Arabidopsis thaliana: one gene and its partner. The protein of the gene in region 2 purifies or fractionates together with the protein of the main gene of each other region. This does not show direct contact. Each region holds a gene or a part of one and is shown on either strand. Other genes may lie near its edges.

Region 1 (8,388 bases), on a different chromosome or scaffold from region 2:
GATCATGGAACCTTAAATGCGACTTGAAGTTGATACACACATAGATGTAAGTATTTCGCAGTTAAATAAATCTAGTCTAAATGGTCGCCATCTTTTGTGGGAGCATTAGATTCAAAGAGAGATGGCTAGGGTTTAGTAGAAAGATCGAAAAAGATAAAACATGAATTGGAAAATATGTGAGAGAGAAAAAAACTTAAGAAACGAAAAACCTAAATCGAGACTTATTATGTTTTTTGGTTTTTGTTTCTTAATTTTGTGTTTTTTATTTATTTAATTAAAGAATCAAATTTGTATATAATTTTTTATAGGTATGGCATAATGGTTATAATAAGTTTGATTGAAGGTTAATTAGTGTTTTAACAGAAAATTTAGTTTACTCTAGTTATCTATTTCGATTGACAATCAATCTAGTTATTTTTTCAAAGTTTTTAGTCAAACTAGATAAACTTCTTAAACTTATAATATGGTTAAGTTTGGGTTTTGTGGTCAATTTTAATGTCTAAGGTTAGTTCATTTGATTTATTCTTCATGGTTAAGCATACATTTCGACCCTAAAATCTCTTCTAACCAAAGGCTTAATTTGTTCATGTTTTTGTCTAAACTTAGTTAATATTATATAAAGAAAAAGCTTCTTACACACACAGAGAAAAAAAATTATAAATACTACTTGTTAATGCCCTTGTTTCTCCAATAATTAATTTAGATCCGAGAAATGTTACGTTTAATATTTTTTATATTAGTTACTGCTATTTGTTCTACGAAAACTGAAGCTTGCGAGAAAAATGCAATAGTAATCATAAACGATCTCGGTCCTGGTAGAATTCTCCAATATCATTGTCGCTACACAAAAAAAGACTTAGGAGTCCAACACCTAAACTTCCATGCTATTAAAACCATTCATCTTCAGGACGAGGGAAAAAATATAACAAAATGGCATTGTCTCTTTAAGCAAGGGCTTAACATGAGGTATCGTAATTACGTAGAAGCATACAGTCAAAATACAGAGGCTCCTCAATGTGGTCAAGTACGTGTATGGACTGCCAGAATGAGTGGGATATGGTTTAAAATAAGTTATAATAATCCATCTGGAAGATATATACGAGGTTGGAAGTATTGAAAACGGGTTCTAATATTTTTGTAAAACTGTTTAAATTTATGTAATTCTTCAGCTGCTTATGACATGAACAAAAGTTATAATTCATGTCAATTGTTTTTCTAATATATATGTCATTTGATATCCATGTAATTGAATACATATGATAAGAGGGAAAAAAATTCTTTTTTAATACTTTTCCTTTTTCTCATCAAACGCCACTTTTTTAGACTGAAAGAGGAGATTAGGGTGATGATGATGAAAGTAAAGAAGAATCTGAGTTTAGGTAGAAGTTGATGGATGTTGAACTCTACTCTACTCGACGTGTCCCAACTATACTAAAGTGTCTACAATCATGGCTCTCTACCACATAAAAGTTAAAAGTGGTATATCCAAGAACTAATTTGATCAGTTCATGAAATTAGTTCACGACATGTTACATGTGGATAATGTTCTTCCAAAATCTGTTCATGAGATGAAGAAGCTCTTGAAGCTTTTTGGTTTTAGTTATGATTTGATTTACACATGATTGCATCCTTTATCGAAAGATGTTTGAGGAGTTTGTTAGCTGTCCAAGATATAGTGCTTCGAGATGGAAGTAAGATAAGCATACTAGAGAGGAAAAGAAGGGGTTCCCGCAAAGGTTCAGAGGTATTTTTCGATCTAAGGATAGATTTAGGAGGATATTTAGATTAAAAAGGATTGCTTAGGAGTTGTGTTGGCATTTCAACAATGCTAGTGTAGACGGTCCAATGCGACACCCAGTTGATTCATTGACTTGGTCTCAAATAAAAGATAAGTTTTCAAAGTATTCTACTAAACCAAGGAACCTTCGACTCGGCTTTTTTACAGATAGGATGAACTCGTTCTCTATGCAGAAAAAAGTATTGTACATGATCGATGTTGTTAGTCAACTACAACATGTTGCCGACTATGTGTATGAAGGCTGGGAACATCATGATGACTATGCTCTTCCCTAGACCAACTGCACCACACAACAACATAGATGTGTATCTTGCACCTATTATAGATGATCTAAATGGTGTGTGGAAAGAATGTATAGAGGTTTATGATTCTTATATGAAGGAGAATTGCACACTTAGAACTATATTGTTGTGGGCTATTAGTGATTATCTTGCCTTAGGAACACTGGTTAGATGTATGGTTAAAGGGAAATAGGAGTGTAACATATCTGGTAAGGACACACCAACATGCATGTTTTATTTTGCTTTAGTCAAATTTTGACAACACGACTACTGGAAGTGCACAGTTAATCGTCTGTAGTATAATGGGCTTTCTAAACCCATTCCAACTCTCATTTAGTATGATATTGTCCTCTTTGGGCTTATATGCTCAAGCCCGCAAGGATTTGTTATTGGGTTCCTTCCCAAAAGGTCTCATACTAGTTGGAGTTGGACTTGGCTTATATATTAGAAACTCTTTTTCTAAACTTTCGATGTGGGACCTTTGGTTTGTACCCAACAATCTCCCCTTCAAACCAAAGACCACGAACTTGGACCTCCTTCTTGAGGCACCTTCTTATCGTGTCATGTTTGAGAGATTTTCCCACATCGATCATAGCCCAAGCCCTAGGTCCAGTGTTTCAACCTGGCTCTGATACCATTTAATGGGCTTTCAAAGCCCATTCCAACTCTCATTTAGTATGATATTGTCCTCTTTGGGCTTATATGCTCAAGCCCACAAAGATTTGTTATTGGGTTCCTTCCCAAAAGGCCTCATACTAGTTGGAGTTGGACTTGGCTTATATATTAGAAACTCTTTTTCTAAACTTTCGATGTGGGACCTTTGGTTTGTATCCAACATAGTATTTATGGATCGAATTCCATTGGAAGAGAAGTAATTCAAACAAGTCTGTCAGAAGAGAGTAAAACTAGGACAAATCAATAAAAGAGGGGGAAAGGGTTGTTATTGTGTCACAGTTGTAAGTAAGTGAAGCAAGTAAATAGTAAGTGATCAATAAGAGACAAAAGTTGGACATTCAAGGGATCGTAGGGGTTCAATGATCTTCATGATCTAATCATGTTTATTTCCATGTTTTCGAGCATATAAAACACATAAAATTCAGCTACTGAGGAAAAATATATAAACGCATATATACATATGTACACGTCCACATACTTTCACGTTTAGGTTTTCGTTATTAGGGAAGTTGGACTTTTAATAGGTTTACTGATATTTGGGTCTCACGTAAAGCAGACCGGCTCTTTGGAGGTGCATGAGGCGCATTTGTTCTAGATCCAAATTTTTTTTGGTAAATTTAAGGATCTGATTAGTATGGAAAAGACCTACAATTTTTTTTTTTTTAGTATGAAAATGTCAATTTTAATGTGTTTTTAAAAAATTAGCATAAAAAGGGTCCAAATTTTTGTTTTATAGTTTAGAAAAAGATTAATTTTTAAAATTTGTACAGGGACTATAAATTTATTGAGTTGGTAGAGACAAAAAGCTTAAAGTTTACACAAAGGAGAAAATTATCATAAACACAAACATTATCAACTTTTCTTTGTTTGATATTAAATTTTTAATTTATAATTTTTTATTGTTCTAAAATAATATAAATAAGTAAGTGGTAGTTTGACAATAATCTCTATCATCTACTCAAATGTGACAATGGATACTACAATAATTTACTCAGGTACATAAGTAATGACGAAGTCTGAGTAAAATGTAATTTGAAATCAAATTTTGGCTTTCTAGAAGCAAAACTGAATCAAAATTTTGTTCATGTGAACCAAAATCTAAAGTAGCTCCCAAAGAGAGAAAAAAATATCTTGAAAACATGCGAAGGGACAAAAGAAACACAAAATGACACGTGTCAATGTTAGGCTAACGAGATGAGGTTGCTGTAACGTGTGGCCATCACACTTCTCTTCCTTCTTTCTTTCCCTCACCTCTTTCTTTCTTCGTCCTAATCTCCTTCTTCTTCCTCCGATCACTCTATTTAACGTCTTCGACGAATCCGAAGCTGAAAAATATCTAACAATCTATCTTTTGGGTCCCTAAAAAAGCTCCTTCGTTTATCTTGTTTTCTAAGTTATCTTTTTGTATGAGTTTCAAAGCTTATCATTATCTCACTCTTCTTCCATAGCTATGACTACTTTAACGAAGATTCAAGTGTACCCACAAGTCTTGGAGCACCGTCTCTTCTTCAGAGATCCGATACGGGTCGGGTCAAGATTGACTTGTAGAGAACGTAGTAATAGGGTTTATGTGCATCGGTGTGAGAAAAAAGTTGAAAGAAAGAGAAAAGTTGAGAAATTTAAGGGAAATGGGTCGTGGGATTCTTTGAAATCTGGGTTTTTAGGGTTTAGTAAATTAGGGTTCTTGTCTAAAGATGAGTATAATCAGAAAGTTGAAAACTTGGAGATGGTTTTCTCTTCGGTTAGTCTTAAAGTTTCCTCTTTTTTTCTTAATGAAATTTTCAATCTTTTTGCTTTGATTAGCTTAATTTTTATGTGTTTGTGATTTTGTAGGTTGCTGTTCAAATTGCGAGATACATTGTGACGATGACAAGTACTGGAGCTATTCTTTTGATTGGGTTTCAATTATCAGGTTAGTGCAAAAACTATTGTAGAAGAGTTTTTTTATTGGTAATTTTGTTTGACTGAGATTTTGAGTGTATGTATTTGTGATGAAAGGTGGAGATAGTTCGATGAACTCATTGGTTTGGTATAGTTGGCTTGGTGGAATTATCATTGGAACCATGACTGGTGCTAACATGGTTTTGGAAGATCATTATCGAGCCGGTCCACGGAATGTTGTTATAACCGGAAGGTACCTTCTTTACTTTTGTTTTTGCATTTTTTGATTTTTGTTTCTTTGTGTTTTGGTTTGATGCTGATGTATGTTTTTATGCTGTGTTTTAGCACTAGGGGACTAGGGAAAGCTCTTGCTAGAGAGTTTCTTCTCTCTGGAGACAGAGTCATTGTCACATCTCGCAGGTTGATAAATTGTATATATGGAATTATGGATTAGTTTTTATCAAGCAATGAAGTCTTAATATGATTTGTTTTTTGGTTTTTGTTTGTGAAATCAGTTCTGAATCTGTTGATATGACTGTCAAAGAGCTAGAGCAAAATCTCAAAGAGATTATGAGTAACGCTAGCGAGTCAGCTAGAAAGAAACTGAGTGATGCTAAGGTAGTTGGTATTGCCTGTGATGTTTGCAAACCCGAAGACGTTGAGAAGCTGTCGAATTTCGCTGTAAAAGAGCTTGGTTCCATCAACATATGGGTAAAGAAACATATTTCTTTTTGTACAGTTTGTAACTTTTTTTGTATCTTTAGTCATATGTTTGCTCACTGTCTATATTCATTTGGATAGATAAACAATGCTGGTACTAACAAAGGTTTTAGACCGCTACTCGAGTTCACGGAAGAAGATATCACACAGGTAAAATCCTTTTTGAACCTAAAGCTTAATTTCAGCTTGAGCTTATGGTGAAGTTCATTAGTCTAATTGTAACTATTATTTTGTAGATTGTCTCCACAAATTTGATTGGATCAATTCTATGTACACGAGGGGCTATGGATGTGATGAGCAGACAGCACAGTGGTGGACACATCTTTAACATGGATGGTGCTGGCTCTGGAGGTTCAAGTACTCCTCTCACTGCCGTGTAAGAACTCAAATCATTCGTTACTAGTCTCTAATGAATTAGAACACATTTCTGAGTCTGTGAGCTTTCGCAGATATGGTTCAACAAAATGTGGACTTAGGCAGTTTCATGGGTCTATAGTGAAAGAAAGCCAAAAAACAAACGTTGGCCTTCACACTGCATCCCCTGGCATGGTTCTGACAGAACTTCTTCTCAGGTATGCATACACTTTGTCACTAAGGCCTAGAACAGAATGCTCCGGAGTTTTATTGAAGCAACCATTTATTTGGCAGTGGTTCGAGCATTAAAAACAAGCAGATGTTTAACATAATCTGTGAGCTTCCTGAGACAGTAGCTAGAACTTTGGTACCACGAATGCGAGTTGTGAAAGGTTCGGGAAAAGCCGTCAATTACCTAACTCCTCCTCGGATATTGTTAGCTATTGTCACTTCCTGGCTAAGGAGAGGCCGATGGTTTGATGACCAAGTAAGTGTTACACTTGAGTTCTAGTTCAAGTTTTTTGACAAATCCTTCACTTGGTTAAGCCTGAGCTGACGCAAAGATGTGTACGTGTTTGCAGGGACGGGCGTTATATGCAGCAGAAGCAGATAGACTAAGGAACTGGGCAGAGAACAGGACGAGGTTGTCGTTAACAGACGCGATGGAGATGTATACAGAGAATACTTGGGTCTCTGTTTTCTCTCTTTCTGTTGTTTGCGCTTTCATCATCTTACAAAGCACAACACCTAGCTCTTTTCCAGGCACATAACAAACATCTTCCTCGGATGTGTTTTAAGAAAATTGTAAACGTACATGTTATGTATAAAAAACATATATATAACAGAACCGATTTGTTCATGTAAACACTTCTTATAGTTGTAGAATGTGTCGTTGTTGAAAACAATGAAAAAATAGATTGTAATAAACTTTTATCAGATTGTAGTATTTTCTAGTTTTCACTAGTTGGGCCTTTAAAGGCCCATTAAGCGGAGTTAAAAAAACACAGCTCCAATAACATTGCATCAATAAAAAAAGTGGAGGGCCATCAGATAGGAGCGAAAGACTGTGCTACTGAATAGTAATCATGGAGATCATTTGAACTATGCATTATTAATCATCACTTGACCCTTTTTTCCAAATAAACAAAAACAAACCAAAGATTGTTTGGCCTCATAGAGAAGATTAGATTTTATCAACAAGGATTAATTCAGACATATGCTTGTCTATTTTTTTGATTAAATCATTGGCCAAAAAAATCGATTAGAAGAAAGATTGAAAAACAAAAGTCAAAAAGTAGGACTCAGAATATGGGTGGTGATATAACAGAATGGTCGGCAAATAGGCTTTTTACGGCCGTTTTTACGACGAACGAGACCTTAAATATCAATCGTCACTGTCCGGAAGAAAAAAAAAAACAATTTTGTAATACGACAATAACAAAAGTAAGGGTTGGAGAAAGTATAAGGATTTGATTACGAGAGCAATTTGTAGCTTGAGAGATGATAAGCTTCTCTCTCTCTTTGGGTTTTTATACAGAAAATAAATATGGAGCGCTAGGGTTTTCTCACTCGTTAAGATTCTGACACGTGTCCACTGTTACATCTGACGGTGCTCAACATCACACACCGCTACGGACGTTGTTGGGCTTATCATAGTTTGGGCTTTACCAGGGCTTACTATCAAATTAGAAATCGTTCATGTAGCCGAGTTTGGATTTAAGTTAAAAACTGGATTTGGGTTAAACCGTTAAAACCGGCCGAAACTTTGGATTCACAAAATTTAAAATCATAATCTTTTAAGTAAATATGGTTTTGAGTAGTCAAAATTAGTTATACAAACTCTTAATGCAAACTCTATTTTCCAAAGTTACATTTCTATTTTTATTTATCAATTCTATGATAAAAAAACGAAAAAAAAAACGAAAATTTCAACAAAAAAAAGTCCAAAGTGTTATAAATAAATGTTTTATTTTATGGTGGATATAAATACTATAAATAATAAAGAAAATATTACATCCGCAAAGATCAGAATATTAAATAATAAAGAGAAAAAAGTGAGATTTATCTTTAGACGATTATTATCTGATATTTTTGTATTAAAATAAAAATACCTCATCTAATTATTAGTAATTTTAATATATTTTGTATATAAATAATTACGAGTTTAATTCCACAAATTATTAATTTATGAAGTATTTTAAAATCACAAATAATTAGTTGGGGTATTTTTATTCTAATATAAAAATAACGGATAATAATCGTCCAATTAAAATTATTTTGGATTTGTTTTTGGATTTTTCCAAAAATTAAAAGAAAATCGTATCTTTGCTACTCAATTTTTTTCTTATCGGAGCAAACGACTTCATGTGCACACACACAAAAAGAAAAAATTATGATGACATTTCTTTTTTAGTTTACATATTCTGCATAGTACTCAAACATATTACTAATTAACTGTTAATTAAGTAGTCAAATGTGGCTGCTGTTTGTAGTTTGTTTTTATTTTCTCAATATGATTTTTATACAATAAAATGAATTAGTAACTGAATTTTTTATTTTATTTTATAGTAAATGATTTGTTTTTATCAAAACAAAATTATTGAGAATTGATGTGGGGGTAACATGTTGTTTTACTTCTCTGTCCAAGAAACAAAACTGGAAGGAAGATAATAGTTAATT
Region 2 (6,971 bases):
AATTTAAATATTTAATTTTCGATATATATGTTTTTTATATTTGAGAAATTATTTATAATTTTCAGTTTTTCTGTATTCCAAATATAGAAAATACAATAGAAAAGACTTATGCGAATTATTTTAAATTTTCAGTTTTTCAGTTTTTATTTATTCCAAAAATACAATTGCAAAGACTTATGTGAATTCTAAAGAGATCTATAATTTTTCAAATAGAAGTCTTTATTTATATAAAATTAAATGTTTGAAAAATTTAAAAATATATAAGGGTTAGTTTATTTAATATTTTTATTTTTTAATTTTGTTATTTTAAATTTCTTGCATATATTTTCAATTAATAGTATATTATTATTTGTTAGTATATGTATGCAATGTTTGCTATTATTGTAAATTACTACCGTAAATCAGCGGTAGATTGTTCCTTATGAGTCCAATAGGTTATATGTTTAATTCCATGTGGACGCCAATCTTGCATCATTATTTTCTAATGAAATAACGTCGTTTTGGAGCTTTAAAAATGACGTCATTTCGATTTAACAGAAGATTAACTCTGTTAATCTGAATTTAACGACGTGCCCAAAATGGCCAAGTCAACGATATTTAACAATTTTTATTAAGTAAAAAACAAACGAAACTTTGTGACTTAAATAATATTTCGAAAGTTCTTGCATTTTCGTCCCAAATTTGAAAGTTCACGATTTGTTCTGACATTTTCCCTTTTCAAATAGGATCAATTTATCTTAATTAAGTACTCCTGTATTTTGAGCTAAGACGTAAAATCAATTCTTAAAGTGAAAATTTTGTATTGTTAATCTTAGAGTTTTCTGCAAAATAACCATTCAAGTAAATCTCGTTTGCAAGTTTACCCTCCAAGTCCGAAATATGCAAGTCAATCCCACAACCTCAAAAGTCACCCGCAATACAGCCCTCTCGTGTACCGATGACGTGGACCTCAATTACTCTTTTGGGTTTTGTGCAAAAAAACCCTCAATTTAATTTTCTTTTGCAAGACAAACCTCCATGTCAAATAAATACAGGTCAAACCACAATCTGAAAAATCTCTTGCAACATAGCCATTTCGTGTATCGATGACGTGACAGTCGATAACTCATTACTTTAATGCATATAATTTATAAGTCTATCGAATATATTACTTTAATGCATATAATTTAATAGAGTTATTGATTTAAGTTTTAAATAAAATAAAATTGAACTGATAGCCAAACAATTAACCGAAATATCCAGAAACTTAGTAAATATCCAAAATTAGTACCTATAACTATAATTCTAAACTTAAAATATTAATTATTTTTAGAACCAAAACAATCAAATACTTTAAATAATCAAAATATCCAAATATTGTTAGTTATATTTGTGAAAATTAAATACTCTTTTATAAAATAGAACCAAAATTTTAATTTTCTTTTCTAATATTTTCCTCTTTGTATTTTTTTTGTTAAGTTTGGTTAAATTTGGTTAAATTTGGTTAATTTTAGTTAATTTTGAAAGAAAGAAAAACGAATCTGAAAAAAATTTGGTTAGTTACGGTTATCGATTCAAAAATGAGTTATCGACTGTCACGTTATCAATACACGGAAGGGCTATGTTGCAAGATATTTTTTAGATTGTGGTTTGACCTGTATTTATTAGATATGAAGGTTTGTCTTGCAAAAAAAAAAAAAATTGAGAGTTTTTTTCATAAAACTCTTATGTTTTTAAAAAGAGTTATTGAGTGTCACATCATCGTTATACGGGAGAGTTGTATTGCGGGTGACTTTTGAGATTGTGGGATTGACTTGCATAATTCGGACTTTTAAGTTTATCATCCAACAATTGTCTCTCTTTTAGAAGAATTTACTTTTAACAGTCTTGAACTGATGGTTAGAGCAAGGAATTCCCACAACTTTGACTCTCCCACTTTATGTGACCTGCTTGTCTGAAATGTTCTCACCAATGGATTTCAATTTGAGCTACAATACAACTAATATTGAAGAAGCATAAAGAAAACTAGGCTCTCATAAATTTCCCAAGTATGAACATTTGAATGTTGGCAAATTGCACTTGTGTCAGATGCTCATTAAGAAATCTACATCATTTGCAAAAAAAAACACAGGAGAATGTACAACTTTGTCTCACAGAAGAAACGTAAATAAGGTATGGAAGATAGACTTATGTCGAATCAATTTCCTCGAAGTCGTCGAACTCAAGAAGCCTTGATGATTGCCCTGCTGCTTTCCCTTCACCACCAAAAACACACAAAGATTTCACATTTCCATAAAAAGGACAAACAATAAGCCGAGCCAGCGCGAATTAGATCATACCTTCGCAGCATCCTTAAGAGGTCCCCAACACTCGATCCGATTGTACTTAGGTGTGCTTGAATGGAAATAAACCCATACATAAGCATCCATTAGCTCAGGATTCTCTCTAAACATAACTGAATCTCCATGCACCACAGCTTTAAGTACCTATCTCAAACACAACACCAAAGAGTTATTAGATAGTCATTTTCACATTCATTAAGAACCAAATAGACAAAAGATGAAGAAGACTAACCAAAGGCAATTCCTTGGAGAAAATATGATACCTAAGCTCAGCAGCAACATCCTGCAATAAACTCATACCACTCACACAACAATGAATATGTAAACGCAGCTCATCATTCACCTTCTTCCACTCAGCAACCACATCATCTTTCTTGTACCAGCCTTCTAGTTGATCCAGATTGATAACGTTTGAGATTGTTAACGTTAAGTTAGCAGTGAAGTCACAATGCGAAAGAATATAAGTCCGCGGCGTAATAATTCCTCCGTTACTCTTGTTCTCCAATAACTCTCCTAAGAACTCAACTTTAAGCTTTGAAGAATCAAAGTTTGCTTGTGGAACCAAAAGCCTCACCGCCTAATAACACCATCAACATTCACATTATCAACTAACTCCACTACTTAAACATGTAATCAAATTTTGATCTTTTTTGCATTTTCAAGACCTCAAATTCAAAATTAAAGCTAGACCCAATTCAATTATGGTTATAAACAACAGAAATCTACAACCTTTACTAAAAAAATATCAATGAGGATTAAAACGAATTAACCCTAAAATTTGGCTTACCTCGGAGACTAGAGTATTGTAAAGTTCGATCTTTTTGCATTTTCAAGACCTCAAATTCAAAATTAAAGCCAGACCCAATTCAATTATGATCATAAACTACACAAATCTACTAAAAATCAAGATGAATTAGAAAATTTGCCCTGAAACTTGGCTTACCTCGGAGACTAGAGTATTGTAGGAGACACCACCGTCACTAATAGCGGAGCTTCGAGGAACACTAATTCTTCTATTCAAGAGATTGTTGCAGAAACGGTGGTGGTGGTGGTGACGGTGACTGAAGATTTCTCTATTGGGATGAGACAAAACAGGATGGTGGTAATAAGGAACGATGTAACAGGCCATGGAGGAACATAACAACAAGGTTAATGCATGAACAATAACAATGATTCTTCGTCATTGTTCATCTTCCACCATTTTTTCTTTTTTTGTCTTGAGAAACAGAGAAGAGATGTGGAAGAATGTGTTTTAGACGTAGCCACAAATTCAGTCTTGGTGACGAGCTTCTTTCTCCACACAAATTCGATTTTGCAAATTGATTTTGGATTTCGTGATATTATTTATTTATATCGAAATATTGTGATTGGTGGATGGAGTTGAGAGTTGTTCCACGTCAGCAAGTCCTTTTGTTTTTTTCATATCTATAGATAATGAGCTATGGTGGCTTCAATATTAGAGTCCAAGTTAATATAAAATGAATTGTATAATTTTATTATACAAGTTTGCAAAGGTACCAAATACCAAACTATATGATACATATCATTGGTGTATAACCAAGTTTATTTATATTTACAAAAAAAGTTCATTAGGGGGATCATATATATGAAAGTTGGCTAATACTCTCCATATGAGTGACACATCATCACACAAGAAAATGACAAGTGTAATTCTACATTAATTAAATTAAAAAACTAGCAAAACTAATTGAGAAAAAAACAAAAGTCTTTTGTTGTGTTAAATTCTCCATTAATCTCACTCTTAAATGAATTTTCTAAAACCATTCAATAAATAAAAATTATAATAATGTACCAAGCACAACTTTCATTCTATTCTATTTATTTAATTTTAAAAAATTTCATCTAGGTGGTCGCTAAATAATCGCAGAGGAGTCTCTACGATACTCGTTATTCATGTGATTCAATCGTAACTCAGTCGTTATATTTTACGAGTACAATATGACTAATGTTATGACAGCGGGTATTAGTCGTATCGTAGTCGTCATTTAGCGATTAAAGTTACGACTATTTTGTTTAGCGACTCTGGATTAACGACTAAGGCTATTACTCGTAATATAGTCGTAACTTCTACTTTAACGACTATATTGCTACTAATGTTGTAGTTTGAAAACCCGTGTTTTCTTGTAGTAGAGCGGGTGATTATCTAGTATTTCATTAAAAATGAAAACAACTTAGGTTACAATAGAAAAATTATAGACCTATACAATGGTTACATGGCAAAAGGTAAAAAGCATTTAAGCATAATACTATAATAATTTAGAGAATATATTTATTTGGAATTGGAGTTTTGGACTTTCTATAATAATAAAAAATAATATAAACAAGTATTGTATATTTTTTTAGAAAAACTTATTTTTTTGTTCTTTTCTCAAGGCTTATAGTTGATCTTACATACAGTAATTGCTACTTGATTTTATTATTTTTTCTTTAAAATTCAATTTAAATAGATTTATGTTTACCTAAAATATTATTATAAGAAATTTGGATTCTAATAGTATAATATCTTGCATATTATATTATTATGATAGTTGACATATATCATATATGTGAAAACTTAGAACTGATATTAAAGGAAATCTAAAGTCAATATTAGTAATACAGATTTATATATATATATATATATAATAACACCAAAACAAAGTTAAAACAACCAAAGAACGAAACATCTACCAAAAAGTCAAAAAGTAAATGAAAAAACTCTCGGTCTTTCTATTTGTTTTTAGCCTTTGCATGCTTCGTCATGTGTATGGCGCCGGGATCAGGATCTCGAACGAACTCAAATTCAAAAAAAATCTTTGGATGAGATGTTATTCCAAAGATGATGTATTAGGTCCAAATATAATACCAAACCGACAATATTATGAAAATATTTTCCATATTAACTTTTGGCATTCAACACGTTTTATGTGTACTTTGAGACAAGGTCCTAACTATATACACTATCAGAACTTTACAGTATTCAAGCTTTTTAGTTTGAGGGATCAAGGAGGCCTATGGGATTGGAGAGCAAGAGAAGATGGGATCTATTTAAAGAAAGAAGCTGGCGAGGCATTATTAAACCCAGTTTATATGCATAAAGTGCATGATTGGATATATTAAAAATATTAACAAGCTATATAAAAATGAAAAAGAAGAGTTTTCTTATGATTTAAAAACAACAGAAAATTATATATGTATGAGAAAACAATCTTCTCAAGTTATATATTGAAAGTTAGAAATATATATATATATTGATAAAATAGTATATTGATCTCAAGTATTATCATTTATCAAAGTAAAAAATAAAAATTATCAATTGGTAGTGAGACGTGGGTTAATGCTTCTATCTATGGAATTAGGGACGTCAAAATGGATCAAGTTTCATGGGTCAACCCAATTCAACTCAACCCATGAACCCTAATGAGATGAAATTTTTCACTCAAATGAATTGATAGTTCAAATGAGTTATTGGGTCAAATGGTTAGATGGATCAAATGAGTTGGGTTTCAATGGGTTAATGGTTTACCCATTTAACCCACCAATTTTGGCTAAATTGAATTAATCCAACTTAAATATCTAAATCGATATCAATTTGAGTTTAACCAAAACCTCTAAATCAATTGAATATAATCAATCTTTTTACAAATGGCTTCACCAACCCATCAATTTATTCATTATCAACACAATATCATCATCATCATTACCATCTCATAATATCATATTACCATCACCATCATCACCATACCATAATCATCATACTATCTTCATCACACAAAAAATGACATGTGTCATTATACATTAATTAAATTAAAAAACTAGCAAAACTAATTGAGAAAAAATCAAAAGTCTTTTGTTGTATTAAATTCTCCATTAATCTCACTCTTAAATGAATTTTCTAAAAACATTCAATAAAGAAAAAAATCATAATAATGTACCAAGCACTACTTTCATTATATTCTACTTATTTTATTTAAATTTTTTTTATCAATAGTCATAATCCATAATGGCTAAAAATTTACTTGTGTTGTAGTTTACATGTTTGCTACCTAACCTCATATTAATTTAGTAATTTTAGTTGGATATTTTATTATTATTATGTTTTGTGAATTTGATTTATCATATGACCTTCTTTCTGTACAATTTTGTGCGTTCTGATAACTTTATAACATTGATATACAATTTTTTCACGTAATAGTCATCCAAGACATTAGACATACCAAAAAAACAATAACATGAGACTCTATATGACTATATGGTAGGGATGAGAATTAAAGTGTTGACTTAAATTACTAGCATATCATGATGTGATTGTGTACTAGATGATGAGAGAATATATGGAATAAAGAATTGTTTGTTACAAATAAGTTAGGCAAATTTCAAAACACATAAGTAATATAACTACATACATTGTATCAATATATCATATATTGTTGTAGTATGTAATCATGATAGTGAAATATTAGAATAATAAATATATAAATATTCATATTGTAGTAGAATAGATATTTCGAGTTATACATGAATCTAATCATAAAAAATAATAATTATATTAAATAGATAAATTTATCAAAATGAACATCAAAATCAACAAAAACCCATATTCATATTTTTTTTTGACAATTTTAAAAACAAAAGCTCATGCGTAGCATA

Evidence for each region.
Region 1: the proteins of AT1G44000 (region 2) and NYC1 purify together in Arabidopsis thaliana (affinity purification with western blotting, with the first as the bait; one study listed by BioGRID). This does not show direct contact.

Annotation. Positions count from the first base shown.
Region 1 is NC_003075.7:7,682,508-7,690,895, reverse strand, and holds NYC1 (NAD(P)-binding Rossmann-fold superfamily protein), read left to right. Parts: upstream 1-3,889; 5' UTR 3,890-4,204; coding exon 4,205-4,495; intron 4,496-4,587; coding exon 4,588-4,666; intron 4,667-4,752; coding exon 4,753-4,888; intron 4,889-4,980; coding exon 4,981-5,055; intron 5,056-5,150; coding exon 5,151-5,346; intron 5,347-5,436; coding exon 5,437-5,505; intron 5,506-5,591; coding exon 5,592-5,731; intron 5,732-5,804; coding exon 5,805-5,927; intron 5,928-6,003; coding exon 6,004-6,196; intron 6,197-6,290; coding exon 6,291-6,479; 3' UTR 6,480-6,662; downstream 6,663-8,388. UniProt on the Arabidopsis thaliana protein: Involved in chlorophyll b degradation. Belongs to the chlorophyll catabolic enzymes (CCEs).
Region 2 is NC_003070.9:16,706,072-16,713,042, forward strand, and holds AT1G44000 (STAY-GREEN-like protein), read right to left. Parts: upstream 3,643-6,971; 5' UTR 3,451-3,642; coding exon 3,265-3,450; intron 2,899-3,264; coding exon 2,554-2,898; intron 2,466-2,553; coding exon 2,319-2,465; intron 2,235-2,318; coding exon 2,130-2,234; 3' UTR 1,933-2,129; downstream 1-1,932. UniProt on the Arabidopsis thaliana protein: Magnesium chelatase involved in chlorophyll a degradation in the chlorophyll-protein complexes of photosystem I (PSI) and photosystem II (PSII). Contributes to the degradation of PSI and PSII in the thylakoid membranes.